Linked DNA regions of Bombyx mori. The protein of the gene in region 2 interacts with the protein of the main gene of each other region in a pairwise test. Links are inferred from orthologs where the notes say so. Each region holds a gene or a part of one and is shown on either strand. Other genes may lie near its edges. The genes, in order: RpS10 and PAH.

The links.
Region 1: the proteins of PAH (region 2) and RpS10 interact in a two-hybrid assay, tested with the Caenorhabditis elegans proteins (2 studies listed by BioGRID). The link is inferred for Bombyx mori from reciprocal best matches to the Caenorhabditis elegans genes pah-1 and rps-10.

What each region holds. Positions count from the first base shown.
Region 1 is NC_085119.1:6,716,122-6,732,077, reverse strand, and holds RpS10 (ribosomal protein S10), read left to right. Parts: upstream 1-8,582; 5' UTR 8,583-8,609; exon of another isoform or gene 8,610-8,703; intron 8,704-8,784; 5' UTR 8,785-8,796; coding exon 8,797-8,996; intron 8,997-9,784; coding exon 9,785-10,031; coding exon of another isoform or gene 10,032-10,115; exon of another isoform or gene 10,116-10,477; coding exon 10,478-10,513; 3' UTR 10,514-10,540; downstream 10,541-15,956. Other genes in the region: uncharacterized protein LOC101737912, read right to left, coding at 650-874, 1,087-1,233, 1,652-3,113, 3,204-3,322, 3,805-3,992, 4,291-4,324; splicing factor 3A subunit 2, read right to left, coding at 6,584-6,951, 7,145-7,408, 7,483-7,636; NADH dehydrogenase [ubiquinone] 1 alpha subcomplex subunit 9, mitochondrial, read right to left, coding at 12,098-12,277, 12,875-13,064, 14,048-14,209, 15,645-15,848.
Region 2 is NC_085107.1:20,093,054-20,109,416, reverse strand, and holds PAH (phenylalanine hydroxylase), read right to left. Parts: upstream 8,176-16,363; 5' UTR 8,147-8,175; coding exon 8,090-8,146; intron 7,392-8,089; coding exon of another isoform or gene 7,344-7,391; intron 2,937-7,343; coding exon 2,633-2,936; intron 2,426-2,632; coding exon 2,066-2,425; intron 1,898-2,065; coding exon 1,635-1,897; intron 1,490-1,634; coding exon 1,260-1,489; intron 1,127-1,259; coding exon 970-1,126; 3' UTR 937-969; downstream 1-936. Other genes in the region: ATP synthase subunit gamma, mitochondrial, read left to right, coding at 13,874-13,965, 14,609-14,823. UniProt on the Caenorhabditis elegans protein: Catalyzes the hydroxylation of L-phenylalanine to L-tyrosine. Catalyzes the hydroxylation of tryptophan to 5-hydroxy-L-tryptophan. Plays a role in the biosynthesis of a melanin-like cuticle pigment.

The DNA.
Region 1 (15,956 bases), on a different chromosome or scaffold from region 2:
GTTACGAAGGGGCAATTTACTTCGCTTGCAGATCATGGGGTAGAGTAGATCGAGTAGGACGCGGGTCGGTCGCGTACTATTTCGTTGTGGGTGCCGAATATCATCACTCTGTCCGGGGTGACGCCTAGATACTTGGAGAGTCAGGCCATTGGGTGACCAAAGATTTTTATAGAGGAAATGAAGTTACCGGAGTGGTGCCGGGAGGGCGATCCCTTTTGATCCTGGTAATATAACTGCGTTTTTGTCGTATTCATTGGATGGAATTTCAAAAACATTAATATACGAGTAAAAATGATTAGAATAAAATAAAATGACAACTAGTTTTTTAATAATTTATCACACCAAATAAATTAAACTAACAAATAAAAACTTAATTTTAAGCTAATGCAGTCTATAAAGGCACAATTGACAAACAAAACACATTTTTCGATAAATAGCTTGTAACTATAATAAATAAATAAAAAACTTTTCCTACTTAAGTGTAGTTTTAACACGTTGTCTCTAATTTCAGTTTAAAACAGGTCGATTAATAAATTACACATTGAGTAGGTAGATAAAAATATTTTTGAGTTTTTCTTAACATTAATAAATTTTGAAGTCATAATGGAAATAAAAATAAGTCAGATAAATAATAAAGAAAAAAAATAGATTAAAGATTTCGTTCTCTCAATGGAGATATTGTTTGCATATTTTCTTTGCCGACTTTGAGTGATTTTCGCAAAACTGATGGAGATTTCGGAGTGTATTGAGATTGTTCCAAATCTTTTTTCAACTTGTCAATAATGGAAGATTGTTTAGCAACAGTCATTGTCAATTCTTCATTTTCTTGGCGCAGCAGTGATAATTCGACAACCAATGATTGCTGATCTTGTATCTGAAAAGTTAGTATTATCTTTATTTTTTTTTAACCAAAATAAGAAGATAAACCACAAAAATTGTCGTTAAACCAGAAGATGGTCGAGAATTGCCAAATTATTTTTAACGATCCTAATTTTACTTAAAATCCTTGAAAAGTAGTAGCTAACTAATTAATCTAACAACAAAAAGAGGTTTTTCAAAAATGCCACCTTGGCTAATATATTTTACCTGTTGCTGATATCGTTCATTTTCATTCTCTAAGCGCGACAAATCCGCAGCGGCTTGCGCGAGCAACACTCGTGATTGTTCTGCGGCCGCAGTGGCCTGGCCTGCATGCTCTGTAGCCATTTCGCACAATACACGCTTTTTCTCGACCTTGAAAAGTGTAATTATTAATATTTTTTTGTAATACACACATCGTCTTCTCGCATTAAAACTGTATAATCTCAAAACTTACTAATTTTACAGGAGTGTTTTAAAGGTTTAACATGTAATTTTTTTAATATTAATCATATTTGCAACAATTTTTTTTTTTTACCAGTTACATCATGTCTTTTAAAGTAAGATAAACGTATGTATTAATTTTGTTAATAGCCGTCAAAACATAGGTAAACTAAAAAAAAACACAAACTAAATTACGCTCTTTTGACAGTATTTATGAGAAAAATACTGGTGATACCAAATGTTTAAGCATATTAACTTAATTTCGAATATTTTTGGAAATTGTACACTTTTAATGCGAAAAGGCGACATATGCTTTATTCTGCAGCCTATTTATACTAAATAAATATACCTCTTCTCGAAGAAATTTAATTTGTGAATTTGATTCCTTTTTCAATAGTTCAACATCTTCAATGAGTTCATTTTTTATGGTTCCAAGTTCTCTGTATGCTTCTTTCTCGACATTTTGTAAACTTTCTATTAAGGTAACATTATGTTCCATAATACGAGTGTGTTCTTTGGTAAGGGCTGCTTTTGATTTTAGAATGTTAACTAGTGCTTCTTTATACTCATCACACTCTCTGACAGTGTTGTTTAGAGTATTTTTATACGTAGTTAATTCATTTTCTAACACTTCTTTTGCACTTGTTAACATCTGTACTTGGTCTTCCAATTGTTCTAATTCACTGTCAGATTCTCGCAATCGCAATGTTAAAACGTGTACAATATCTCTTGTTACTGACAAAGATGTTTCAAATTTGTTTTTCTCTTTGATAGCTTTTTCCACTGCAAGATTTAATTTATTCTTTTCATTTTCATAGTTAATAGTTTTCTCAATTAGCTCATCTTTTAAAGTCTTTATTTCTTCAATAAAATTAAACTTTTCAGTTGACAATTCATCTTTACAATTTTTCAAATTGTTCAATTCCTGTTTCAAATCGGAATTCTGATTGTTGGTTAAATCTAAAGTATATTTTAACTCTTTTATCTCTTGTTCCAAATATTGTATAGTTTTCTCTTGCTGCGAGCAATGCTCTTGAATGCTTTGGCTCCGCTCCTCAAACTGTATTTCACATATTTTAAGTTTTTCACTAGCAGATTCCTCAATTTGTTCAAGTTTCGCTTTCATTTCCTGTTCTTTAATAATCAATTGACTATGGAGTTGTTCTAAAGCCTCACATTTCTCTTTTAACATTTGGTTTTTCAAGGATTCAATTGATGCATTATGTTTTGTTTTAAGATTTTCTTGATCAACTTTACATTTACTGATAATGGCTTGTTTTTCTTCATCCAATTTAGTCTTTAGAGCTTCCAATTCTATTTTGTACTCTCTCCTGATACTTTCATTAGCTTCCAGTGCCAAAGCATGGTGTCCCTTAACCATCTCCAATCTCTGCTGTGTTTCAGCTAATGTTAATTCATTGCTTGTTAATTTTTCTTGTAAATCTTTACACAAACTATCTCTTACAGTGATCACTTCTTCCAGTGATGACAATTCCATCTGCTTATCATACACTTCATTGTCAAGTGCTTCACATTTTTTTTCAAGTTCAATAATCCTACTTCTCATATCATTTATCATGGCAGAAACTTTCTCAGCGTCTGTACCTTGAACAGCATTATGTTCCGTGTGGCAATTTGTGTTATTAATTCTAAGCTTAGAAAGTTTTCTGTCAATTTCATTGAAATCAATATTGTTATGAGATTGCCTAAATTTAGTTGCAAGTTCTTTTAAAATTTCTTGAAGTTGAGCTATCTCATTTTTGTAATCTTCTATTTGCTTGTTATACTCACATATGGTTTGGTCCTTATTTCTGAAATAAAATAGTATTTAATTATACTAAATAAATTTTAAGATCAAGTGAATTTATCAGCTAATTGAAATAATTATTTACAAGACTCACCTTATTTCAACATCTTGTGCTTGAACTAATTCATCCTGTGGTAATATTTTATTTTTGGGACATGTTAATGTTTTCTTAATGCTGCTGTTAGGAGCTTTGGTAATTTTGAAAGCTTTGGGCTGAAATTAATTAACTCGCTTATAATTTATATTATGTTTGTTCATATTTTATACACAGCAATTGACGACTTTTTCATACATTTCATTATAAAGACTGAACCCACAACTGCATGTGCACAGTAATGTGGTAATATTGTCACTAAGTTAAAAAACAATTACTACCTAGCCCATTGTCAAAAATTCTTTTAAATACAGTGAATAAGTACATGAGCTAGGGCATATAATGTTACAATTACTACAATTAATATTGAGCATTAAAATAATGCTGACAGTACCTTTTTTCCCTACATATTTACTGGTAGTTTAAGGGGCTATTCCAGCTTCTCGCAAACATGTTATAGTACCATATAGCTATCTACTCGTAGAAGAAATTTATAATAATTTTGCAAAGGAGTAGGCCAAGTATGTGGTATTTACATGTTTGTACCAAACAGGGAATTTGCAATAAAAACATAATGTAAAAAAGTTTAAACAGTACTTACTGTGGCAAATTTTAATGATTTGCTACTTTGGACACTACTACATTGAGACTGCCCATCGACTGGTCTAATAGAATTGAGTGTGTTACTGCGACTTTTGCACAAACTTGATGATGTCTTCGTATTAATTTTAGTACTTTCACTATCTAATTTCTTATGTACATTTGTCTTCTTTTGATTTTTCTGGGCAACTGGAATTTTAAAGCACTTTTAGAAACAGGAATCAATAAATTTATGGCTTTAACAAAATAAATTACAGTACATTTATCACACTCGCTGGTCTAGCTTAGTAGGTTGGATCGCTCTACTACCGAGTCCAAGTTCGATTCCCAGTCTGAGTCAGTAACTTTGTTTATTCGTGATACATATTCTTGACTTATAAATGTGTTTCCGGTGCCTATGGTATAGTAGAAAATTGTATCCGGGGACCGTTAAATGTGGAAAGTTTATTAGTTCTATTCATTATTAAACTGTAGTGAATAAACTTACCAAGTGGTTCAAACCGCTTAGCTTTTGAAAACATGCTGAATATATTTGAAGAATCGCGTTCTTCGGAAATAGTTTTCCGGAACGACGAGAACGATCTGTTAATGTATTAAATTATTAATGAATAAAATAGATTTCGTATTACATATGTATTTAATTAACTGTTTAATATATGGACAGTTAATTATAATACCTAGCTTATAAAGTTAAGAGAAGGAATTTGACTTGGACCGAAACCGAGAACTGAACAGAACTGCGATGTGGCGCGGGAAACTGGACGGTTGGTTTTATGCATTGACGCTTGGTAATAATAAACAATAATATCTATTCAACAAACGAACAGCTGCAACGAACCGTTAAAATACGTTCCGTGCCACGCAGAATCATAGATTTTAAACAATAAACGAGATTTAAAATCAGAAATCTAAGTCAAATTATTCGACTGTTTGATTTTGAATTCACTTTACATTACACATACATAGGGCATAATAATGTAAATCCTTTGATAGGGCATAAAATACTGCGTGGCAGCATCAAAATTTGAAATTAAATTTTTTATGTTATAAAATATTTAACTAAAGAGTTCATCATTTTTATCTGCAACATTTCGAATTTCGTTTTAACGTGCTTAAGTTAGAATTAGCGTCAATAAGGCAGCGTCATTGGCGAGCAGTTAAAATAGCCCCTTAGGCTACGAGCGAATAGGTGGGAGAAACGGCCGATGGGGGATGCAATTATATAGATAATATGTATTTTGAATTGAATTACAGTTGATTCCGGTATTGTTTATGTAATATTCCATTTCGATAAATCCTCTCTTCTCCCTCCCGTCGTGGCCGCCGGTAACTACATTCCTGATCCTGCGGACCGAATGGTAAACAGTCGACGTCACCCAAAACACGTCATCTCGGATCCTCCCGATCCACCAACGGTGCAGGTACTCCAAGCACCGGTCATCGTTCTCGTCGAACCCGTCGAAGGGCTCGACGAGTATATTAACCCACAGACACAGCCCACTGAGTTTCTCACCGGATCTTCTCAGTGGGTCGCGTTTCCGAGCCGGTGGTAGATTCTGCGAAGCACGGCTCTTTCGAGGGTTCGGGTTAGCAACAACGTCAGGTTTGAGCCCCGCGAGCTCACCTACTCGGTCGGTGACGCTGATATGGTCTTGAGAGAATATCAGCTTAGGTAAGAAAAAAAATGTAAAATTGTAATTACGTACATTTGTGTTATGTTGTGGCGCCACGTGTCTGGTTGTAGTGTTGACCGCGGGAACCCCCTACTCTGACGGGTTTTGACCCCGGACGGAGATCGGACGTCGGGTGTAAGAGTGCAGGGGAGTTGTTTAGTGCGGTAGAGCCCTAAAATTCCTTGGGCCCGCGGTCTGCTCCCAACACCTTGCAGATCGTCAAGTCCCACATACCCCGCGCGCCCCCAAGGCGCGGGAACCTCGTAGGAGGTTCGGCCTCCGCGCCGAAAAAAAAAAGGTAGTGAGTTTGCGAGGTGTATTAGTTGTTTATTTGAAAAGAACCTATAGGTAGTCAAGCAAGAATGATTATTATTAAAATGGCTACATCAAATTTTGCCGATTCATGTTCATTTTACCAACACTGAGTTTTATTTTATTTATTTAGTAGTTATTACTATTTAATTAGTACCATAAGGACGGGGTAAGATTATTAACTTGCGACCATGAGTGTGTGAAAACGATTTGTAAAAGACATAGACAAAGATAAGTTGTTCAAATTGGAATTGAGATATTTGTACGAAATTGAAAAGAAAAAGCTTTTATCATAGTTATGACATATATATCTTTTAATGAAAAACTCCCTTTTTATTACCATTCTAAACACTTTTTTTAAATAACATTTAAACACACCAAGGAGGTAGAACTAGGTAAACCCAGGACTGAAGTAATATGTTCCTACTAAGGATTCTTAAGAAAAGTCATCATGGTCAAGAGGATAAGATACCCAACGCATTCCTAAAAGCTACATTATTATGCTAATCACACTTCCTACAAACTCAAAGTAGGTATCAAAAGACTATTTGGAATGCAAGCTCACATCCTACATGGCATTAAGGGTTACTTACTGGTGACCTATTACAGGAATTGAAGTCAAGACACAATCGTTAGCAATAATTTTTTTTATGTATATTGGAAATTTTTGTATTTTCGTTTAAAAACATCTTGACATTAAAGTACAAAAAGACCATAATTGAACAGAAAAGAGTGTTAATTAATGAAATTAAATTAAATGTATGTCAAAAACTTTATTGGAAAAATATCAACTAATTACATAGAGGGTGGTGGTGGGGGCACTGGTAATAATGGTGGTGGCGGTGGTACTCCCAACATCGGTGCTCCAGGAGGTGGAGGCAACCTCATGCTATGACCCTCCCACATTTTGGGATGGGGGGGAGGCATGCGTAACTGATCCATCTTAAATGCAAACTGCAAAAAGAACTGCTTTGTGTCCTTGTTCCAATGAGTCCAGAATTTTGAATCATGCTTTTCAACTTCTCTGCTAGGGACTTTAAATGCAATAGTTTCATAAGGCTCTGCTGCAAATAACAAATACTGCCATCTGCGGTCTGGAGGCTCAATCTTCTGTTCATAAGCAGACATAAATCTATGTCTAGGTATAACACCCTCTGCAATCTCTAAAAAAAATATTACACAGCATTTGAATATCTGTTCCTCTTTTTAGTATGGTTAATAAGAATTATTTCATCTAAATGACTTAAAATAAATTTTAAAGAGTAAAAGATTAGAAATATAATAATTGTAAAAGAAAACCTATTTAAACTACTTTTATTTCAATTTCACTTTTCATAATCATTGAAATGACTGTACCTGGATAATCTACTTGGAAGAGCAAGCTCTGCTGTCCAGTTTCAGGATCTTTCTGTTTTGTTACTCTGTAACCAGGTCTACCAATCTTCACAAATTTCTTAGGTTCAATTCTAGGTTTTTCCGGGGCAAGCTGTTGAGGCGCTTCTTTGGCTTCCTTTGCAGCTCTACGTGCCAAATTGGCTTGATGCTTCTTCCCTTGCGTGTGAGCCAAATAACTTCCCTCATTGTTATGCAGGGTTAAACAAAGTTTACATTCATAGGACCCTAAAAATGAAGTTTACGTTTGTGAAGTGAACGAGGTTAACATGTTGAAGTTATAACTAACGTTTATTACTCACCTAAATGATTTTTCATAAAATATGGATCTTTGTTTAAATCTATTGTTTCTAGTGCAAGCTGTCGTAATCTCTCCCGCCGGTCTCTGTTACTTTCCGACCATGACGCTACACCTCCTCCACCAGTTTTACCGCCAGGGCGATTTTGAAAATCCATTTTAATTAAAAGTAACACTTATTTTAAGCTTAGAATATTAATTGTCCAGTTGACAAAGTAGTTAAACTTTGACATTAAATTAAATTGAAATTCGTAGTCTGCTCTGTAATTAATATAACCTAACATGACATTTGATGACATGAATTGATTTTTTTTAAGGGATTTTATGACCTGGTTACTAAGACCTTTAGGTCAAGTCTTATTTTAATTTTAATGAAAACTTTTCTCTATATGGGCCGTTTTCCAATTACAGCACAAGAGCGCATTATACGGCATAATGCTCAACTAAGCTTCCGCATAATTCGGCATTGTGCGTCACTGAGTCGGATTATTCTGTGTAATTAGAAAACTACCATTAAATAATGGTAAATGGAAAACGGCCATGAAAAATGATATTATGAAATGAAATGAAGTTGATTATTAAGAAGCATGACATGAATCGAAACGAAACGAAATCTGTAATCTGAGACTTTAATCAATTGGGATGAAAGTAAATGAAGTAACTGATAAATTTTCTTCATTTTTTATGCTACTACAAACGATATGTTGACTACAAGCAAAATCTGCTGTAGTAAGCGCTTAAAGTATGTCTCTTGTACGAGTATGAAAAGTTAGTCGGACACTATTTAATGGAAATAAAACAACATGGATGTAAAACATTTGTAGGTGTTCAATGAAATTAAATGAAATAACCTCATTTCGACGAAACTCACTTTAACACATGCATGCACGCGCGCGCTCATATAAACACACACACAACATCTCATTGAATTTCGTTTCCTTTAGTCATTTCATTCCATTCATTCCAATTTTACATTTCAGTTAATATTCATATTATGTCTTCCCTACAAAAGATTTGGCTGTATGAATTCAAAGTTGATGATTGTCGATTGATTGCTATTTGACAGTTGACAGCTTTCAACAAACTTCCCTTCAATCCCCTTGCTCTTTTCTGTGTTAAGTTAGCCTACAGGTAGTACAGTTTTTCTTATAAAATCGATCTTAAATACATTAATCAGTGCATATTACTTATTATAAGTGTTATAAGTGAAGAAAAAAGTTATTGCGTAATCTTGTGATGAATATATTTCAAGAAGTGCTACGTTTTTTTCACTTGTATGTCTTAACCCAATAATTTGTTGTTTTAGGCGGCTTTCAAGATGTTGATGCCCAAACAAAACCGTGTTGCTATTTATGAGTACCTCTTTAAAGAGGGAGTCATGGTGGCCAAAAAAGACTATCATGCACCGAAGCATACTGAACTAGAGAAGATTCCTAACCTCCAAGTTATCAAAGCTATGCAATCACTCAAGTCCAGAGGTTATGTCAAAGAACAGTTTGCCTGGAGGCACTTTTACTGGTAGATATTTATTATGTTTCATGTGTTGTCTATTATTTGTCGTAATTTTCATAGATTTAATGTAATGATACGATTCTCATAGAATTCTGTATCAACTACACTAATTTAATATAAACACTAATATTTTATACCTTTTAACAATTTGTTGAGAATGTTAAATATTGAGATTAACTTATATCTGTCAATCAATGTCTGTTGTTTAGGTGTGCAATAGAGTACACATTAATAATAATATGAATTGTTTGGCGCATTAAATTAATTTCACTAATAACTTTTTTTTGTCAACCAAAATGACGAATCTGAAAAAAAAGCTGCTTACCTTCAGAGAAATACCAACCTTTAAACATCTGATGTTGTTGATTTTAGACATTTTTGTTTAGATCACTTACCTTTTCAATGGATTATTTAATTCTCATATCGTGTCTTGTGTGGTGTCAACCCGTAATATCAACACTGCATCTCTTCTGGATTTCATAAATTGCAACTTAAGGTTTTAGTGAAAAATGGATATTGGTGTTCTCTAAGTGTTCAATCTGAACTCTACTGGTATTGGGGTATTTTGTAAACCGCCTTTGTATTCCGGCTTCATCTGGGTTCCAGTTTGAGGGGAGGGGGACACCTGTTGCACTATAAAGTTGAGACTGAGCTCATGTCTTAAGGCAAATGGCATTCTTGTTTATATTTATGGGATCTAGTGACCCCTAAACACATCTGGGCACTAAATAAAATCTACTATTTCTTTGTCTAACCTTAATTTTTATAAATATTTTTTCTAAAATTTTCTTCAGGTACCTAACCAATGAGGGTATTGAATACTTGAGAATATTCTTGCACCTTCCTCCTGAAATTGTGCCTGCAACACTTAAGCGCTCAGTACGTACAGAGACAGTACGCCGTGGCCCTGTTGGTCGTCCTGATGCCCCAGCCCGCTCTGCTGAGGACAGATCTGCATACAGACGTACTCCTGCTGCCCCTGGTGTTGCACCTCATGATAAAAAGGCTGATGTTGGTCCAGGCTCAGCTGATCTTGAATTTGTAAGTCCTATATTGTTGTGCCGTATAATTGTAGACTGGATTGAAAAGTTACAAGCACCTGAAACATACAGTAGACTTCAGTAAAATCTACTCCTGTTATCCGACATGCTTATAATATGAAAATACAAATTTATTTTTGTAATTCTTCATTAATGTGTTTGAACTAGTTGTATTGTATGTATATTAACTAAATATGTTGGATTACCTGGTACTCTTTTCGAAAAAGTTTTAGACTTTTTAAGAGGGTCTGTGACAATATTTTATGATCTGAAACAATCCTGAAATATGTTTATCACATAACTACAGGTCCCATCGGGTTAAACCAACAAAATTTGCTTGTTTTGTTGAGAAGAAAGCATGTCTGAAACCAGTTTTGTTGCTTTGTGTTTTATTATATTTAAATATTAATTGCCTAAATTATTCAAAGAAAATATTTCTATTTGCAGAAGGGAGGCTATGGACGTGGCAGGCCTGCTTCATAATTTAAGCAATAAAAAAACTTAAAATAAGTCAATGGTGTTTTTTTGGATGGAACTAAGTTTTGTATTTAAAAATATATATATTTCATAATATCTGATTGTATCTGAAAGTACTCTGATGGTCTGCTGAGCCCTATCTTACTGAACCATTCGGGCCATGAGGATCACCCATCACTACGTAAACACTTCACACGTAACCTACGTAAACAAGCTACAGATTGCAGCTATAAAACAAATCGCGTACGGAAGTGAGCCGCGCGGCCTTTAACTGAGCCAAATGTCTTTGTTTTCAAATCCAATAGAAAGTTTTAGTTATTTTAAAATGTCTTAAGAACTAGGCGCTAAAAGTTGCTAATTGTTACCTTCCGTGCAAATTATCGAATTGAAGTTGATAAAAATTACTAATTCCCTGATTTTGGCTTGGCCTGAATGGTATAGTACACTAGGCCCATTGGTGGGCCACAGCATTCAGCATGTTAAGAAACTAGTGTGAGTTCCTTCTCAATCCTTGTGAGCAATATAGTAGTACTTAACTGCCTCATTGATTTGATTAGTGATTCTTGCATATACCGTGAGCTTATTCTAGTGGTTGCCCGATCACCGTCCTCGTCGAACCCGTCGCTTGTGACGAAGGGCTCGACGAGCGAATTAACTCCGACACAGCCCACTGAGTTTCTCGCCGAATCTTCTCAGTGGGTCGCGTTTCCGATCCAGTGGTAGATTCTGCGAAGCACGGCTCTTGCTAGGGTTCGTGTTAGCATCGTCGTCAGGTTTGAGCCCCGTGAGCTCACCTACAAACGTTAGGGTTACGCTGGAATAGCCTCTCAAGGCTACCAGGTTAGGTAGGAAAAAAAAAAAAAATTGCTGTTCGTTAGTCTCGCTAAAACTCGAGAACGGCTGAACCGATTTGGCTAATTTTGGTCTTGAATTATTTGTGGAAGTCCAGACAAGGTTTAAAAGGTAGATAAATATGAAAATGCTTGGAATTAAATAAAAATAACAATTTTGTTTTTTTATTTCCCCCCCGTCATACGGATTTCTTTGGTTTGTTTTAAGTTTATTTTATACAAAAGCTTAGGTGTTTTATTTAACAATGGAGGCACTACGAAGTCTGACGTGTCAGCTAGTAATTTATAAAAATGTTGTGCGAATTACCCAAAATGTTAAGTGTCAAATAAAAAGGAAAAAACTGCCATGTGCGATCTATTTTTGAGTGCGTCGTAAAAACCGTTTGAGTTACATATACCATAATATGTAAAATGGAATTTTTTATCATATAACTATCGTTTATTTGTAAGCCATTATCGCCAATATAGTGGACCATTAATTTAAGAAGACGAAAGATTAGATTTTTTGTTTATTACCTACGTTCTTTTTTTAATGTTTGTTTCTGTCAGGACCAGATTTGTATAAAAGAATATTCAATAAGATCAATAATAAATTACAGTCCTCGAAGCGAAGACAGGGCGGGTCGCTAGTTTCTTAATAAAATCCAAAGCATAATTATTTTATGAACGTAATTTATTAAACTTTGTCTACACGCCCATAAAGTTTATCCAAGAGGTAGCTATTATTTATAAAAACAATTCAAGCTGAGTAAACTGGTGGAGGGTCTGGTTTCGGGAACTCTCCAAGCCGATCCATGTAGTACTGATGGGCGCGAAAAGGTTTCAGTTCCCACGGAACCTGGTCTTCCATGTGCGTCAAGGTGACGCCCAAATCCTCAAGGGTGGGCACGCCGATCACCACATTATCTGAAGTAGCTTCCTGTAATTCAAACCATTACATTATTTCGACTTTTTACAATGTCTGAAAATTCAAAGCGTATTTTGTGTGATATGCGCTGCGTTTCACAGAAAGGAGTGAAAATTTTAGTTACATCTATAATTAAATTTAAATTTATTAATAGGGCCGTACAGCCACGCTGTCATTATCATTTAATGATAATGTTTTTCAGAATATTGATTTGCAGACATTATTCGTGCGACACCTGTCTAACGTTGGTAATACTATGAAATACTAGCTGTACCCGTCCGCTTCGCTGGGCATTTAAAATTAACATTATTTCTCACACCCACAAAAATTCTCATCATTAACGCCCCCGCAACTGGTGTAGGGAGTCCAACACTAATATAAATATTAGCCTATCCATTAAGTACATGTACTTTCTACATGGATACCAAGTTTCAAGTCAACCGGATGCACAGTCCAGTAGTTATAACGGAACATCCGTAAAAACCACTGTAGATTTATATATTAGTATAGATTTCCTGAAACATGACAGTCATCCGGATAAACCAAATATTCTAATCATATATAGAAGATATATATTTTGATTGTATCAGATAAGTTAATTTTAATTACCCTTTCAATTCCTTCCCAGTGAAGATTTCCGAGTGGATAAGCTGGTGAAATGGCATTAACCAAAGCAACTTTCAGGGGCAGTATCGGGTCGTACTTCATGTCGTAGCGAATGTATCCACCCCATTTTTCGTCCTTCCTCATTAGTTTGTAAAACCAATCAACCAAATCGGCAAGTAAGTAGCGTTTTGGCCTGAAAACACATTAAGGATTTAATTGTAACGTATTTTTTTTTGTTTTGAACGAACTCACGACGCGCATGGTGTTAAGTGGTTATTGGAGCCAATACATCATAGCACGAATGTCGCCAAAAACCTTGAGTCATGAGGTCTTAGTCTCAATTGTTTAGTATAACAGTTATTCCAATTACGGAGTCCCATGAGACAGATGTTACTATTATGTTCTTGTGTGTGTGAATTAATTGTGTAATGATTTAGATTCATTGTGTATTTTTTTAAATGATGTTTACGACAATGAACAAAAAATGATTATTATTTCAAATTATGCGAAACGTAAAGAGTTATGCCGGCCACTCACATGCGCGCAAACATTCGTACAACATTCGTACATTCGTCAAACGTTCATTCGCAAACTTAGCGGCTGTGCAAATGGGTTCGGTACTCAATTTGCGAACCCGTTTGCGCTTCCTCCTACACTTGTTTACGAATGTCTCACGAATTTCTCCTCCTTTTTAATTCGTCAATAGAACATTGAAGAAAAAAAGAGTTTTGAATTATTTCCCAGATATCATTAACAGCCATGCTGTTTTTATGGGATTTCTTTTGATGAAGATACGCTACACAGTAGACGTCACGATCTATGAAAATAGCGAAACGTCCGTTGCCTTCGCAATCCTGGGCGCAACTGGTCACACGAATGTGTGGGAGACTACGCGAGGTTCGCGGTTCGCGCGCTTTGATGTCTGTTAAAAAACCGACACAGCTTGGAAAACCACTAATGCAGCGAAAACTTTGCATAATCATTTGCAAATGTCGTCCTACACTTGCGGGTTTGCGTATTCGTGCGCATGTGAGTGACCGGTGTTACGTTCTAAGAAGTTTCAAAAGGGACTTCGTAATTGGAATAGAGTATAGCTCGTCCTTCAAACCAGAAAACAAGACTGCTGTAATTGTAAACTATTTGTATTCTGCGTTTAATATTTAAGATGGAACTCACCCAACGGCTTGGTAGACTTCACATTTAGTGTCGTCGTCGCGCGCGGCGTTCACGATACCCTGAGCGACGTCCGACACAAACACAGGCTGTTTCACAGTCGCTAATCCGTTTTTATAGAGGGGCATCAGGTTGCTGTGAGATCGCATCTTATTAACTAATGACCTGAAAATAGTTGCAGTATATCGGTATAGTTCGGTAGGCCCGTCGACATCCACGACATGACGGTGACACTTCGTCTTCTCGCATTAAAACTGTATAATCTCAAAACTTACTAATTTTACAGGAGACTGTTTTAAAGCTTTAACATGTGATATTTTTAACATTAATCATTTTTGCAACTTTTTTTTTTTTTTACCAGTTACATTATCTTTCTTTTAAAGTAGGATAAAATTATGTATTAATTTTGTTAATAGTAGTCAAAACATGGGTAAACTAAAAAAAAAAGAACTAAAACTAAACTACGCTATTTTGACAGTACATATTTATGAGAAAAATACTGGTGATACCAAATGATCCGCATATTAACTCAATTTCGAATATTTTAGGAAATTGTACACTTTTAATGCGAAAAGACGACTTGTAAGCAGACGAGCAAACAGCCCACTTGATGGTGAGTGGTTACCGTTGCTCATGGATGTCAGCAATGCCTCAGGAACAATAGAGCCGCGAAGTATCGCTGAGTACTCGTTTGAAGAAAGATTTGTCATAGCGCTCAGGATACATTGAGCAGGGGAAATAATTCCGAGGCCGCATAGTTAACTACTATAAAACCCCGTTTAACGCTGTTTCGGTTTAAAGCTCTTTGATTTGAATTCTAGGAAAAAGCATTACACTAGATACTAAAATACAAGTAATTAGAAGTTTAGATACTGGTGAATGTCAATCTCAAATTGGTGCTGCATTGAATTTTACAACTTCAACAATAAGGACTATTCTTAAGGTAGAAAATTGGACATACAGAAGAGACTGAATGATCTGAAAACATAACTTAATACTGACTTAGAATTTTATTTATTTTTATATGTATGTGTGTGTATACATTTGTTAAAAGTATCTTGTTGATTTATAGTTCTAAAAAATATAATTAATCATTTAAATCGTAAAATACCTGAGTAATTTTCTAACAATATTCCTGTAACCCCTTGTTGTACAGCTGTCCCACATTTCAAGTCTGAGAGCACCTACTCGCTTTTAATAGATGTAAGAGAAGATGCTTCGCTTCGATACCTAAGATGCTTCGCTTTAGCATTGTGAACAGTAGAAACGGAAGCTCATCATATATTACTTTTTGTTATTATGCCAGTTCTCATCGCATTAGAAAAATCGAATATATATCTTTTTAATTCATTTAATAATAAAAAAAATAGATGGACAGACAACGGATTGTTGTTGTGGTGTCAGGTAAGCCTATACATTTTACAGACACTCTTCCGTTTAGCTTTAATGGTGTGTTTTTTGTCTATATAACATTTTCACAATTGTGCTGTCTGACTTTTGTAGCTTATTCTTTAATTTTACCAAGAATTTTACTCAATCAAAGACAGAATATTTTGAGATAAAGCAACAGACCTATATTATTAGGTGATTCGATTCTAACCTCAAAAATCTGTCTTCGGAACCATAGATGTCTGATGCTCGGATAATAGTGGCAGTTGGGTATTCCTCTCTGACTGCACACTCTCCCAAATACTTGCTTATTTTCCAAGCAGACGGTTTCTTCAGGACAAGAGGTTTCGGATGTTCTTCAGCATTTAAATAAGACAGATGAATGAATCTCTCAACTCCTTCTTCTCTGCAGATTCTGTTGTAAATATTTATCCATTATAATATCGTATTTCATGACTAAACTATAATTTTGAGTACACATGGCTGATGCATTTTATTTCAAATCCGTTTAAAAGCAAAATAA
Region 2 (16,363 bases):
ATAGAAAGTTGCATTAGAGTATCGTAAACTCGTATTTAAACCTGGAAAATACCTGGACAGAATGATTCAGACTCGAGAATTCCGCATAGTGAATTTATCCTTAACATCGTTTCGTAGTTTCTTTCGTTCAGTGAATCTCTGTTCAGTACAAATTCAAACTTTTTTGCTGACAGTAAAATGAAATGAAAAATTTCATTAAAACTTTAATTCCCTCATATTTCTTTAAGCTTAGAATCGAGAATAGTAGTTATAAAAGACAAATAGATTTGACTTGAAATAAAACGTGTATTTAAAATTGAATTCAATAAAAATAATTTGTTCTCTCTTTTTTATTCCAGATTTCTTGTTTCTAAAAAGTTTCTTTCTTTAAGCTGTACTTACATATCTACATATATTATCTTGAAAATGTTTATAATAGATATGATATACGTGCTCGTGATACCCAAATTATATATGTAATGTGAAATTAATTGTTATATAATATTTTAAACACCACAATTCTTATATATTAAACAACATCCTATATAATTTTAGCGTAATTCATGTCAATTATAAGTATTATATTTTATGAATTTTTAAACTATATTATTTCCTTAACATCCGTAATTTACTAATTCCTTCTTATAATTTTAATAGATTAGACTGAATATACCTACGTACTTAAAACATACTTATTTTATTGATACTAAATGTACTTACAACTATTATATTAATAATTTAAGAATGAAATTTTTTAAATTTATGTTTCACACAAATATAGTCATAATTGTTCAATTACCTCAATCAAAACTTTTTTATTACACTTAACTGAAATGTCTTATCAAATAATATCATTTGAAGTTGTGTACAAATAAGTTGTGTAAATTTAGAAAACTTGAAAAGATAAAATGTTAGTTCTTTAAAAATCATTGGTCATGATTGTCATTAACTATAAGTGTCCCACCTACAACAAGAAGCTAATCTGCATCGTTACAACTTGTCCATAGCGTTTAGCAGCAGCTCCATTTCTTGGTGCACCTCCCGCATCAGGACCCTGATCTGGCGAGCGGAGTCCAGAATGTCAATGCTCTGCGTGTAGGGATTGTAACGGACGCCAAAGTCACGTGGGATCGTTTGAGCAAACTTTCTGTTAACATCAAATTTATTATGAATGATTATATTATGTTCAGATTTAATGAAAAAAAGCATTATCAAATTTTTATCTTAGTGAAACTTGTGAACTACATTTAAGAAAAACTATATTTTGAGTTTATACTTACATCATCTTCTCCTGGGCATCTTCAAAGCTGTTAGCAACGAAATAGACGGGCTGGTATTCTGTGATGGGATACTTGGTACCCCCGGTAGACTCGGGGTCAAACTCTCTCAACTCAGGTTTGTCTGAGAGACAGTACTGTAGCTCGCCGAAGGACGACAGTAGACCGGCGCCGTAAGCCTTTAGTTGACCTTCTTGCCGGCACAGACCAAACTCCACCGTGAACCAGAAGCACTGACATGAGGATAGTACAATGATTGATTATAATATCCATTCGAAGGAACACATAAAACATATTTACAAATATTTTCATTTTAAAATTCTGATAAATACCTTAGCTTGAAATTCTAAAATTAAACAATATTGTTGAGTTATTTACCGTGGCTAGTTTCTCGATGTAATCATCAGGAGCTCCTAGAGACGCAAGACCAATTTCTTGAGAGAATTGTGCAAAGGCGGGATCCGCAAAAAGCGGGGCGTGTCCAAGCAATTCGTGGCACACGTCTGGTTCCGGAGTATAGAGTGGTCTTGAATGGTGTCTGATATACTGGGTGCTGTGGAACACTCGAAAAGCAAGTCCAGCCAGAAAGTCACGCGACGAGAGAAGTCCTGCCACGGGCCGCAGAGTGAAGCCGGTGCTATCTGGTGATGATAAAAGATAACGAATGTTAACATTGGTTTCCACACATATTGTATTGGAGGAATTATAGTATTTTTGGTTCTCATATTAAGCTTACTCCAAAGAATGACGTAGAAACAGCTACAAGTTTACTGATTTGTAAGTAAGACAGCAAATTGCTTGTTACCAACCTCTCAAAAAGTTAGAAACATCTTCCAATTGTGGAATGTTGTCGTCCCTGTAACCACAGTTTTCGATCAGCAGCGGGAAGACATGGTTGTGCTCTTTGCAGGCATGAGTGGGGTAGAGCTCTGTCAACTTCCGGAAAACTACACCCCAGGTGGCCACCTCCTCTTTGGTGTACTCCACATAAGGCAGAGGCTCTCCGTGCTTGTAGTTGTATGCAATGTCGGCGAAATATTTGCGGCGGTCGCGGTAAACAGGATCGGTAAATCCAGGGTGATCAGAGTCCAGTTCGGCACCGTATGAGAGGATCTGGTTGGCAAAGCGATCTAAGTCGCGGATACGACGTGGGAACCAAGGAACAGCGGCTGAAACAATTAGTCCATTTTTATAAGTGAATTGCATTTTCTCGATATGTTGAAACGTTCATAAATGCTTGATTGGATATCAAAGTTTGTATTTTAGCAAATTAAGTTTTCGTTGTGTTTGTTTTTGAAAAGGAGTTAGTGTGAAATTAATTTATTTCTACAATCTTGTCATTTTGTCATGGAAATAGATAACGAGAAGGCACTCACATCGATTATCTTTATAGTTTCTCGAAATAATATTTAGGTATCCAACATTCTTCTTCAGCTCTTCAAGGGCCGCTCCGAAATCTCCAGAACCATGTTCACATTCAACCATGAACTCATAGCCTGGACGCCTTGTGGAAGATCTGGATTCAATGTGACTGAGGTTGACTCCATGAGAAGAGAAAATGCCTAAATATCTGGCTAACGAGCCAGCCTCGTCGGGTGCGACTGGTGAAATCAGAAGCCAAGTTGATTTGGTAGAATCACGACCCTCGCGGATGTAGTTGCCACCTTCCATCAATTTTGGCTGTTGACAATGTTAATGACATGTTAATTTAGGTAGCCACTACGTAATGACTGCCTCTACTAGGCCAACCTATCTAAGCAAAAGCTGATCCACCACCAAACTCAAGAAATACAACGTCTAAGTTTTCTTCAGTATAGAAGTGTCGTTCAATTGTTTAATAAAGCTTATGGTTCGTAAGTAGGTAATGCCAGAAAATGTTACAATAATCTATAAGACAATTTTACACTATTGTTAGACGCGCTCTGCTATAGAAAAAGGACGAAAGAGAACGGAGAGGTAATACGCAGATACAACAAACTTATTTACTTTAATGATAGAAAAGGTAGATATTCTATCAATTTGTTAACTGCTGTTTCAGTTTCGAGAACAACTCACCTAAAATACTATTGATCAAATACATATTATGAATGTATTTAAAAACTTAGATCCTTTTTTGTGTTCAACGAAGACATAATATCAAACTGGTCTGATGTACAGACGCAGTGGCGTGATCAATATTTTATAGTAATTGTACAAGCCAATGGTATCGTCGTGATTAACTGTACCCTTACTAATTCTTTTTGGATGCTTCACAAGTGATAAGTTTGAGAAATATTCAAACACAGTTGAATCGTTGTGACATCCGGCGTTATCGGGAGCTCGTAATTAAATAGATAAGGTTCTTGTTCTATTTCTCGGAGGTCAATCTGGAATAGGTCCGATAACCTCCGCGTCGTCGTCATCAGTGATACGTCCATTCAACGGTTTATTTGTTTGTACAGTATTTTACGAGATTTTTTTTCTTTCTTAGAGGGTTATTTTCACGTTTATGAGGTTTTAAACTATGAACAGTCACGAACAGCTGAGTCACAAGCAGGTCGACTACTTCCAAAGTAATAAAAAATTAACTCGTTCTTCTAGATATATTTTGCCTGGTAAATTAACAAAATTTAAAATATTCAATCTGGGTATAATAACCGGCAAACTTCTTGAGCATTTGTTGACGTAGTGGGGGTAAGTTTGCGCATGGTACACTCACGTGCAAAAACATTACTTACTCTGCGTCATAATGCTATTAAATTATTAAAATCAACATATATATTTATTTATATATTTATTAGAACATCAACAAAACATATAGGTTAATAATTGTAATAATTTAATCTTGGGGTAAAATAGATATTCCTTCTATTAAGTCAAAACTAGAGCTGTTGCCAGGTCTTGGTTCAGTTGAAGCGAAGCTGGTATTTGTAATTTTTTTTTCGTTATCATAATCTTGACCATCATCATCATCACTGTTTTCATCACCCGAGTCGCTATCATCGTGATGAGTCGACATAGGGCTCATCGGCGTAGTTTACAACTCGGTCGATTCGGTCTTTTTTTTTGTCTATAATTAATTATTTTTTGAAGATATTCGATTCGTAGTAATCGAATGTTACTTTTTTCATTTACCAGCTTCCGATTATTTTCTGTTCTTTTTTTCCATCTGAAGCCTAGCTCTTTCATAATTCGTCGTAAGCTTCATTCCGAGCCATTAAAATTTATATCTTCTTTAAATTTTTCGAAGCCTTTCTACGGTACGGAGTTTCGCTGCTTGTTATGTAGTTATTATGATTACATCTTTTTATTACAGATTGAACGAAACTATCCATTCCGGTAACTTTCTTCTTCCCTGATCTTTTCTTACCCGGAGTCCGAAACACGGCGAGCAAGCCAGAGCCTTTAGCTTCGTTAATAATGCACCTAACAGTACTCACTGATGTTTTTGTTGGTTCCGAAGTATGTTTTAATTTTTCCATATCATTCTTCCCCTGTTTTATAATGAAGCAATATACGTCGTACACAAATTTTCTACCCTTTCTTTTAAGTACTACACCAGTTTGTCACGGCATAGTGTATGTTTTATAAAAAATCAACAAACACTCAACAAATAGCAATGGCAACAAAGTCCACAAGCAATTATAACAAATAACTTAACGATTAATAACGATAGACTTTCCACTGAACGCAAGCGTACTTTTGGGAGCAAGCGGAATGAGGGCGCGGTGCGGGACGCAAGGTTCAACTGATCTACCAATAACGCGCTCGATACGATTTCCCCTGCCGTCGCGCCTCACCCTCACCACCAAAGTGATCTAAAATTCGTTTCTGCGCAGTCAAGGTCATTTGCTCAAGAAGTTTGCCGATTACTATACTTCACTACATCGTATAAAACAAAGTCGCTTTCTCTGTCCCTATATCCCTATGTATACTTAAATCTTTAAAACTACGCATCAGATTTTGATGCGGTTTTTTTTAATAGATAGAGTGATTGAAGAGAAAGGTTTATATGTATAATAACATCCATTAAATAGTGGAGAAATCAATAATAAATTATAGTTTCCGAAGCGAAGCGAGAGCGGGTCGCTGGTACTTTGATATAACAGTCGTTAATTTTAAAATCAAAGACATTAAAGTAACACCGACATCAAACCTATAATAAACTTATGCAGTTAATAACAAAATTGTGTGGTTTCTTGAACATTTCCACCGATAGATTTAGCTTTAGTATTCATTTCATTTATCCAACATACCTACTTATTAAATTCCAAACGTGTCAAATTTAAAGGTCACATTTTATATTTCCGTATCCATTCTCCATATCTCATTGCAGAAATCAGTTTAATGTTTGCAGCGATACCTTTTGCCTTCGAAATGCAATCGAAGTGTTGCAAAGAAGTACTTAATTATGTATTAATGATGAACAAGCGAGTACATTAACATTGTAAATCAATAAAGACCGGTACAGTACCGAACTTAACATCCATTTCCAAAAAACAAAATTCATCACTGTCTCTCTCAGTCGAATAAGAATCAACAGAGCTACGATTCGCTAAAATATCAGCAGATATGGAGATAATTAAATCAATTCGCAAAATGTCAACAAAAAAAAATATTTTAATTGAATACACATATATTATCTAGAAGCAATTACACCGCTTATCACAATGTTTTTAACAATAAAAGCAATGTTTTGTTTTTATTGCGTGTGGTTTTCTTATTTTTAATTTAATTTTATAATCGTTGTAGATAAATTTTATGCGAAACGACGCCGCAAAATGTTACTGCGTAAAAGTTAGAAAAGTTTAGCCTCAGACAGACAAAACTGAAACTTTTAGCGTTAGTAACGTTTTAAAGTTACTATTTATTTTGACTAAGATTAATAATTGTGCAGTATGACTACTCCATGACGTGCAAATACCGAAAGTCATGAAGAGGCTCGAAGGCCACCGGTCTAAGTAAACGTAAGCTGTCGATTGCAATTTTAAACTTGTATAGTACTTTTACATTTAAGCTGAAATACACAATTGTGTGGTGGAAGAAATAGACAATAATGCAATACCAAGCTGGTTTAAAACACACCTACACACACGCTGCACAAAGCAATGTGTGATGCTTAAGAAGAAGAAGACGAATATTAAGTGAATTAAAGTTATTGGAATTTCTATGAAACTCAAATATGTGTTTTATTTGATTTAAATTGTTTACTCCTCAATGATTGACTCGAGGAAAACTTACTTTAAAATTTCAAGAATTGCAATGGCTTTAAGTTGGCGTCTTAATTTAGTTTTGAAATCAATTTACGCTACCGGTTGCGTGTTTACTAGATACATATTAATGCGTAGTTAGATAAACACCGAAATATAGTAAGAAAAGTAAAATTTAGAGGTTGTTTATTCTAACACAGGTAACGTAGTCTTGTTCAAGCTGTTCTAATTCATTTGGTCATAGAATTACTCAAATCTATTAAAAATTTCTTCTTCAGCACTAGCGGTTTTTTTTTTACTTTAAAAACAATTGTAATGCAATCAATTTCATTAAATAAACAAGACTACATACTTCCGCTATTTCGTTTGCACTTTTATTACAATGAAATTTAATGGAATCTATGTAATTGCCAAAAAAAGCATTCGCCGTTACTTTTCCTTGCATAATGTAATCCTGCCTATCTGGTTGCAATCAGGTCGGAAATTTTAAGTACGATTATTAGGTATGAACCGAAGTACCCTTTGTAATGTCAAATAGCAGGAAAACAACTATAGTGTTAAATACAATTGTTATTTGTGCTCAACAAAATTTCGATTAGTCAAGATTGAGTTAACAGGTAAACAGTCGTTGCAAGCTAAGCATTGTATTTGCTAATTTATATCTACAGGTTAATTTTTTTTTTAAATACCCTTAAATTCATTTTATTGTTGTTGCCCCTAATATACGTGTTTCTTCAAAACGTTGAGTCTCATACAATAAAAAACATAAACAAAAAATTTAACGTAAAAAAAAAGGTCAGAATATGAAATCCCAAAGCAGTTAGTAGCAAAGCATATAATAATATCAGAGCACTCCTAGCTGTAATATCAGAAACACGCGTTTAAACATGCGTTTTACCTTTTTCATCTTTTCTGATGTCATGCACTGTTTGTGGTCCCATGCACACTAAAAATAAATGATTAACTATATTTTATATAGAAATCCCATTCAGCAAGCATCTATAGGAAGGAGAAAAATAAAAATTGGTGAAGTATATTATATCAATACGGACAAAAGTAGTAACAAACTTAAAAAAAACAGTTTAAGTGAGTTTCAAAAATAAAACTGTAATTCCACCAATTATTTGAAACGTTACGTTAATCTAGATTTGAATTTTAATCTTTGCTTCTCCCCGTGAATTTTGCCGAATGTTTTATGGTTTTGTTTTCCATGTTTCTGTCATGTCACGTTTGTTAACGCACCACCCGCCACTGGAGAACACCCACATTGCCAGGAATGACAGAATCTATCCAGCTTTAGACACTTTTGCTACCGTGACATGTCCTGTCTCACTCCAGATTTGATAAGCGACGTCAAAAACTTAAGTTAACTTAGTAATTACCTTTTCCATTGACTAGCTAATTACTATTATTTACAGAAATATGTTAGAATCGACATCTAAATGATCTATTTACTGAATAAAATAAATGACAGATGGTGATTGAGCCAATGTCGTCATAAGACGAAACAAAAACAGTTTGATAAGTCGCTTAATATTTTTATTCTACGTTAGCAAGTGCGCGCGCTCATAAATTTTAGTATTACCTGCATAAAATTCGACAGATATGTTTATATTTAATATCAGTTTTAATTCAATTTCATACCTTGTCGGGAGGCGAGCCAGACGTGGGTTGTTCAATTTGCTTCGCCGTGATGTCCATTTCTTTTTCTGTTGCTGGAAGAGGCGTGTGTTCTCAGCGTGAGTGACTTATGTAAACAAACCTTTGCCGACTAGCAGCCTGTTATATGCGAACGCTCTGACGTTATTCGACTTCGTAAAATATGGATGTGGTATCTACGACGTTTAGTTGTTTAGATTCTAAAACGACCTTTGACTTCAGGATTTAATGTTTTGTTTTTTATTTGTGTGCAAGTATTGTTTATTGCTTACTGAAATATTATTATTTCAAAATAATTTGACCTCTGTTGTTTTAAACGACTAACCAATGAAATAACAAAATTATACCGGTTTAATAAAACTATCAGTGTTCAGCAGGCCATAAATATTTAAAATAATTTGTATAGTACTTATGACAACACCAACAAACACAAAGACTTGATAAACGCATCCAAAAGTCGAGCTAAGCTTCGTGTATCGTTGTGCTTTATAAAAAACAACGTTGCAATAGATCTGTCAAGTTGCGTTTGAAGGTTCTAGAGTTCCATTATTTTGGCCAGACATGAAATTTCTTGGCTAGGTTGATTATACTGTGATTTTCATCTAAAATATTGTTTTATTTTACTTTTATTTTTTTATTGCTTAAACAGGTGGATGAGCTCACGGCCCACCTGATGTTAAGTGATTACCGGAGCCCATAGACATCTACAACGTAAATGCCACCACCCACCTTGAGACATAAGTTCTAAGGTATCGGTTTTTACAATATAACGGCTGCCTCACTCTTCAAACTGAAACGCATTACCTACTGCTTCAAAGCAGAAATAAGCTTGGTGGTAGTATCTACCCGTGCGGACTCACAATACGTCCTACCACCAGTAAAATTAAATTAAAACCAGTGTTGTAAAAAACAGATACATACAAGTTGGCGTGCGTAAATTTTTCGGACGAAAAAAAAAAAAACAAGTTTGGAATTCCGATGAAGCGAAACCTGACTTGAGTGGCCCCACAATACTATAATACATTCAAAGTTGCAAATATCCAATATAAAAATCAACATCAAAATATCCAACGTACCTATGACAAAATGGAGTTGGCCTAAGCATTCATCAAACATTACTAGGCTCTTTATTTAGCCCCCTATCATAGATTATTTAGGTAAAATAAACGTAAAAACCAATGCCGCCATGCACATAAGAACTAATCATCTCTATTCTCATTAAGTTTTCCTTGCAAGATTTTTTACTATCGAAATTACATTAAACATAAAGAACCCGTTGTGTATTTTACTTGAATTGTAACAGGTTCGCGTTTGGAAGGTCATAATGAGTTTTTGCACGTGGTTCTACTGCGCCGCGTAAAACTCGATGCATTGGAAACGCAAAACCGGATATTAGTAACACAGTTATTATGTATTGAATGTGTTGTGTGTTTTATATTGCAATGAAAATTTGTCAGTTTTGATGTGTCGACAGCCGATACATACTCAATGTGCTCTGAGATACACGTAGGTAATAACATAATGAGCTATTCAAGCATAAACAAATAGTGAGGATTTAAACAGCTCAGAGCGGCCTGATCCCAGCCAATCCCATTAACCCGAGTCGATTATCATGATGAATATTCCATTGCAATTTAACAGCTACCCGACCTACAATAAATTAAATTGGAATATAATTGTTAAAAGATCTCTGTTCATAAGTCGGTGACGTAACTCCATAAACACAAAATATATTTAAACTTGATTAAGTGGCTTTTACTGTCCTTCGAATATGGTTTAAAATCGCAAATATCAACTCTAACGGTGCATTGGCTATTAATATTCATAGCACCAAATTGACATTTTAAATCTAAAAACTTTAATAAATCTAACTTTAAAAAATTTCTCGCTCTTGACGTCGAAGTTTGAATTTTTAAATTATGTAGTATAGACGGAAACATCTATACTAATATTATAAAGAGGAAAGATTTGTTTGTTTGTTTGTATTGAATAGGCTTCGAAACTACTGAACCGATTTGAAAAACTCTTTCACTGTTTGGAAGCTACACTATTCCCGAGTGACATATGCTATAATCTTTTTTGAAAAATGGGGGATTATCCTTACTAAAACTCCAATAATGTAACCCAAGGTGTAAAAAAAATACCTAAAATATTCATTACATCGCGTGACCTGCGAAAACTATTAGTGATAGAATAAAATAATGTAATAATTGTAGAACACATTATTGTTTACAAAAAGTGTCAGGACAGCATATTATGTCTAACTATTAGAGTTATGCCGCAATAAGTGTTCTTTTATTTTTAAAAACAACGTCAAATATCGTTGAAATTTTTGTAAAAGACCCGAGCGGAGCCGGAGCGTGCCGCTAGTAATACATAAAAGGACTAAAATAAAAAGGCTAATAAATGGACGTACTGTCCCAGCATACGAACACGGAACTAATATTGCGGTAGAACTACTACATACATACGTTTGTGGAAGTCACGAGCGGAACAAGCGCACTATTGATATTGCCTGCAGACAAACAAAATCATCGGGATCCATTTGAGCCGAGCTGCCCGCTATATCTCTGAGGTGCTGTATCACAAAACAGAGTGACGTCATAACACGGTTTTCCTTCCTCTGTTTGTTTTGATTGAATAAGTCGATTCATGTTTTATTAAATAATTACAATATATGATATAATAATACAATATAATAACAATATATCATATATTAACAATATATTATAATCCAATTACCCGAATGTGTCGCAACTATAACGAACTAGCAAAGTCGTCAACTGAGTTGGATATTGTTACTTGTAGGTTAGTGACGTTTATAAAAATGCTCAAGGGCATCCTCCAAGTTAATAATAGGTTAAGTAGTGTAATTGTTAAATGTGTATTGTGAATAAAATTATTTCCTTACATTCTATGTTAGATTAGTTTTCGTTATCGTGTTGTTTTGTCGTATAGTTGTAAGGAACATTGTGTACAAATTCAGCACTTTGTCTTGTTTAGTCGTGCACACATTGCTACTGTGGCAAGCCAGATTTTGTTTCTTTTTACTTGTGTTTTTTATGTATATTTTTAGCTTGTAATGTGTATTGTGTGCCTAATAAAAAAATAACTAACTAAACTGTATAGCTATGTGGCACGTCACATCCTCGACGTTGAGTGCTGTTCGCAATTTGACCACAATCATAGCATCCTTGTTTTATTGACGTAGAAGAGTAGAAGCAGACAGGAGTTCACGGCCCACCTCTTGTTGAACGGCTACTGGAAAGCTCAGGTCTGTACCTGAGGATCCACGACATGTGCCCAATAGATCTATCGAATACTATAGTGATATTGTCATATCGTACAACAATCACTAAAACGCGATCGTTTCTGCTCCCAGGAAGCTATTCGTTCTGATCTCAAGATGGGCGCCTATTTTTTATTTATTGCTTATGTGGGTGGAAGAGCTCACGGCCCACTTTATATTAAGTGATTACCGGAGCCCTTAGACATCTACAACGTAAATGCCATCACCTACCTTGAGATACGGTTCTAAGGTCTCAGTTTTAACAGTACAACATTATGCTGTGTGCCGGTGTACAGTGAGAACATGAACATCAAAGCTCAATATATAACTAGTCAGGTCATAAGTATTATCACACAGTAAAAACTTTTCTTTTAGAATGCTGGCCACAATTTTTTTTATTGAATTCGAATTTCGAATTGTTCATGAAAATAAAAATGTATACTTTTAGAATTTTACTCTTTTTTAAATATGGAGTGGACGCTTAAAGAAGACCGTGTTGCAGTTATTGCGTTGCATCGTTGCGGTTACGCGCCAATTCAAATTTTTAACATACTGAAAAATTTGAATATAACCAAAAGATTCGTTTATCGTACCATCAAACGATACAATGAAGACTCTAGTGTAGATGACAGGTCAAGAAGTGGTCGCCCTCGGTCTGTTAGGACTCCAGCAGTGATAAAAGCTGTGAAGGCGCGAATTCAAAGAAATCCCAAACGTAAGCAGAAACTGTTGGCCCTTCAGATGGGGTTAAGCAGAACCACGGTGAAAAGGGTGTTAAATGAAGACTTAGGGCTTCGGGCATATCGAAGAAAAACAGGACATCGTTTAAATGCTCGTCTAATGGACCTGAGACTGAAGAGATGCCGCGCTTTGTTGAAGCGGTACGCGGTAAAAAATATCGGGAAATTCTTTTTTCGGATGAAAAAATTTTTACCGTAGAAGAGAGCTACAACAAACAAAATGATAAGATGTACGCACACAGTAGTGAAGAAGCGAGCGACCGTATTCCGCGTGTCCAACGAGGTCATTTTCCATCCTCGCTCTTGGTATGGTTGGGAGTTTCTTATTGGGGCTTAACAGAGGTACATTTTTGTGAGAAAGGTGTAAAAAAGAATGCAGTTGTGTATCAAAATACAGTCCTGACGAACCTCGTGGAACCTGTTTCTCATACCATGTTCAATAACAGGCACTGGGTATTCCAACAAGTTTCGGCGCCAGCTCATAGAGCGAAGAGCACACAAGACTGACTGGCGGCGCGTAAAATCGACTTCATCCGGCACGAAGACTGGCCCTCCTCCAGTCCAGATTTGAATCCGTTAGATTACAAGATATGGCAACACTTGGAGGAAAAGGCGTGCTCAAAGCCTCATCCTAATTTGGAGTCACTCAAGACATCCTTGATTAAGGCAGCCGCCGATATTGACATGCACCTCGTTCGTGCTGCGATAGACGACTGGCCGCGCAAATTGAAGGCCTGTATTCAAAATCACGGAGGTAATTTTGAATAAGCTTTAATGTCATAAGAATCTATGTTTTGTTAAGTTCATTTTGGTATATGAATGGTTACATAATGAATAAACTTGTTTCAATTATTTTACATTAAACACGTGACAGAATTTATGACCTGATTAGGTATATAATATAGTACATGAATTAGATAATTCTGCTGCGGCACATGAGAACCGAATCATGACAATAAAAACACAACACAGTCGGGAAACTGAAGTTATATTCAGTGCACCAATTTAATATACATATATGTGTGTTGGAGAACATTAATAATCCAGGGTCACGTTCACGGCTTGCTTGTTCACCCAGTACAGCTCTCTATCTCTCACTAATCATAGAATATGATGCTTGAAATGTAAGTTTTTCGTCGTCTAGTGTATGCACTGTCTCAGAGATAACTATGAGCTTGACCAGTACGTTTCTTGTCTATAGACTTACTTATAGGCAGATAAGCTCATTGCAGCATACAAGCTCATCATCAGTGAGTGTTGAAATGACGGCTGATAGAAGAGAATGGAAGAGAAAAATAAGCTGTGCCGACCCCCGCCTAGTGGGATAAGGTGGAGAAAAAGAAGAAGAGATGAGCTCATTGCCGACCTGATGTTTAGAAGTTACTGGACCTGTAGTCTGATAGATAGATCATGCGAAGTGTTAACCACACTACCCACAATAAGAAAAAAGATCAATCTGAATTCTGTTGTATGATGAATATCTTAATGTTAAAAAGTCACGACAGAAGTGAGTAGGAGGAAGTAGTGAGTTCTAATGATAATTATCCAGCAATTAAATCTTGCATCATAAAAATGCATGCAGCGCAACAAATGTAATAAATAAATGAACATTTTTCTTTGAAAAAATCCTAATTATAACAAAAAGTTCGAAATCAACACAATGACATTATGTGTCAAAATTGTGATCAATAGGATATCGTTTCAACATTTCCACAAAGTTTTAATAAAAACAAACACACAATGGTACAGTTGAAACAAGTGTCCCTAAGATTAAAATCGATAAAAAACATACAGAAGATTACCAAAACTATGAAAATGGTTTCCGCTAGCAAGTAAACATTATCCTCAATTTGGAACTAGTAACGATTTATACTGTTCATAACCTGTTCAATCAAATAGAAATCAAACAAGTTTTTTGATGGTTTAGAAGTTTAGATGGACGGTCATTATCGAGCTTGCGGCCCATGTTGTTTTAAGCGACTGCTTAATCCGCACTATATTGATGGCTTGGTCTCAATTATATGTGATCATCAATGTCAGAAATAGAGGAGATGCTGACAACGACCAAACACTGTTGAAATACGTAATAATTCATGTTCGTGAATGACTCCAAAAATGAAGATATAACATCGTGTAATAAAAACCAAACCAGGAAAATTTGTAATATGCGTCATTACTAAATACTTTACCTTAAGTCTCGAGTTGTCATTCACGTTGTGATGTATTAGGGGTCGGTAACCACTTAACACCAGATGGGTCATGAGCTCGTTCATATTATGTCGTCGCAGTAAAAAAATAACCCAAGATCAACATTAAGAGAGATTCTGTTTTAAAATTGATTTCTTATAAATCGTACTACTTACTGTTGTACTTTTTGTTTCCGTGCAGATGACGTTAAATACCTTAACAGGACACAAGCAGTCATTTCCTTATCGGTTTTTTTCCTTTGTTTATGGCGGCCTTGTGATATCCCAGGTTTACAAAAGCAGAACGCGAACTGCAAGCAGCGAGGCCTTTCGGTTATGGCCCTAGGAAGTTCTACGAATCTTCTCGATTGATAAAGGCGGCTGTGGACAGCAAAGATAAGAAAGACGCCGCCGCTGTCCCCGAACCAGTGCAGGAGAAACCGGAAGACCAGGAGGCCCAAAAGAAACTCAAAAGGATTTATATAGCTATGACGTCTGACAGAGGTATCTAAAAGTTGCTCGTAACTAAAATTCATGCTCAAATATGGAAACATGGTTTTTTGCTTAGTATTATTATAGCGGTTATTATCACAGAGCATGTAATTAACTATATTGTTTTCTATAAACACGTGTATAGGGCGACGTCTACAAAGTGAACAGAAAATGTATAATGTTATTCGAAACTTGTAAATATATACGCAAGCTTGTCTTGAAAATGCTGTTAACGAGAATCAATTTTTTTCTATGTTATTATATAATCTGTTTCTTGTTGACTCAAATACGAACCAACTTCTTAAAGAAGCCATTCCGAAGCCTTCGAAGTCACTGCGCAATAAAACCTTGTGATAACAGATTTATTAAATTTTGGATGGGTGACACGAATAATGGACCCCTGTATTGAATTAGCTACAGGACTTTTTGAATATTTTTTTCTATCTATGTTGATAGCCTTAGAGGGCTATGCCAGCGTCATCAAGCGAATAGGTAAGCTCACGGGGCTCTAACCTGGGACGTTCTTAACACTAGCAAGAGCAGTGCTTCGCAGAATCTACCACCGGATCGGAAACGCAACCCACTGGGAAGAACCTGCGAGAAACTCAGTGGGCTGTGTCTCTGGGTTAATTTACTCGCCGAACCCTCCGTTGCAAGCAACGGTTTCGACGAGAACGGTGACCGGTGCTTGAGGTACCTAAAAGCACAGTAGATCGGGAGGATCCGTAATGACGTGCTTAGGGCGAAGTCAACTGTTTACCATTCGATTCGCAAGATCGGGTATGTATTTACCCGCGGCCAGGACAAAAGGGTGTCCGTGTCGTGCCGCTTTCTCGAAATGGCGCACTGATGCTGACTGAAGATACTTACTGATAGAGTCCAGCTCCATACTATCAAGGATATCCACGTTTCTCACGAACCATGGTGCTCTGACGGCTATCCTGCAAAAACGGGATTGAATGATTTGAAGGAGTTCAAGTTAGTGCAGGCCGCGTGAGCGAACACTACACTTGCATAGGTCATGACTGGACCTTTCTGGACCTACAAAACCTGCATACGACCCTTGTCCCTTAAATTCTTCGCTATTGCGAAGGGACAATTTACTTCACTTGCGAATCATCAGATAAAGATCAGATCTCTTCATGATTAGACCACCACGGACATTCGTCCTGTTGATTAATTTTCTCATGTAAGACGAATTTCTTTGCAATATATGAATTCACCGTACGGGTGCCGGATCCATCGAGTCCGAGAGAGGAATTGATACGAAGAATGCCAGTGGATTTGCGACCTTAGTGTAGGTTCAAGAGGTCCTTAGCAATGCGCATTACGCTCAACTCCATTCTCCGCATACTTCTCCTTGCTCACCTACTACTGGTGCGACCTGGATGTCCATTCAAGTATAGAATATACGAAATTTCATAAAAACCCAAGGTGTTCATAACAACTCAGTTAGGTTATAGAGAGATTTCACTGGACAAACTAATAACGTCCCTTTTTGGTTATCTCGTTCGTAAGATCGTATTTGTTTCTTTTTATTGCATGGTCTTTC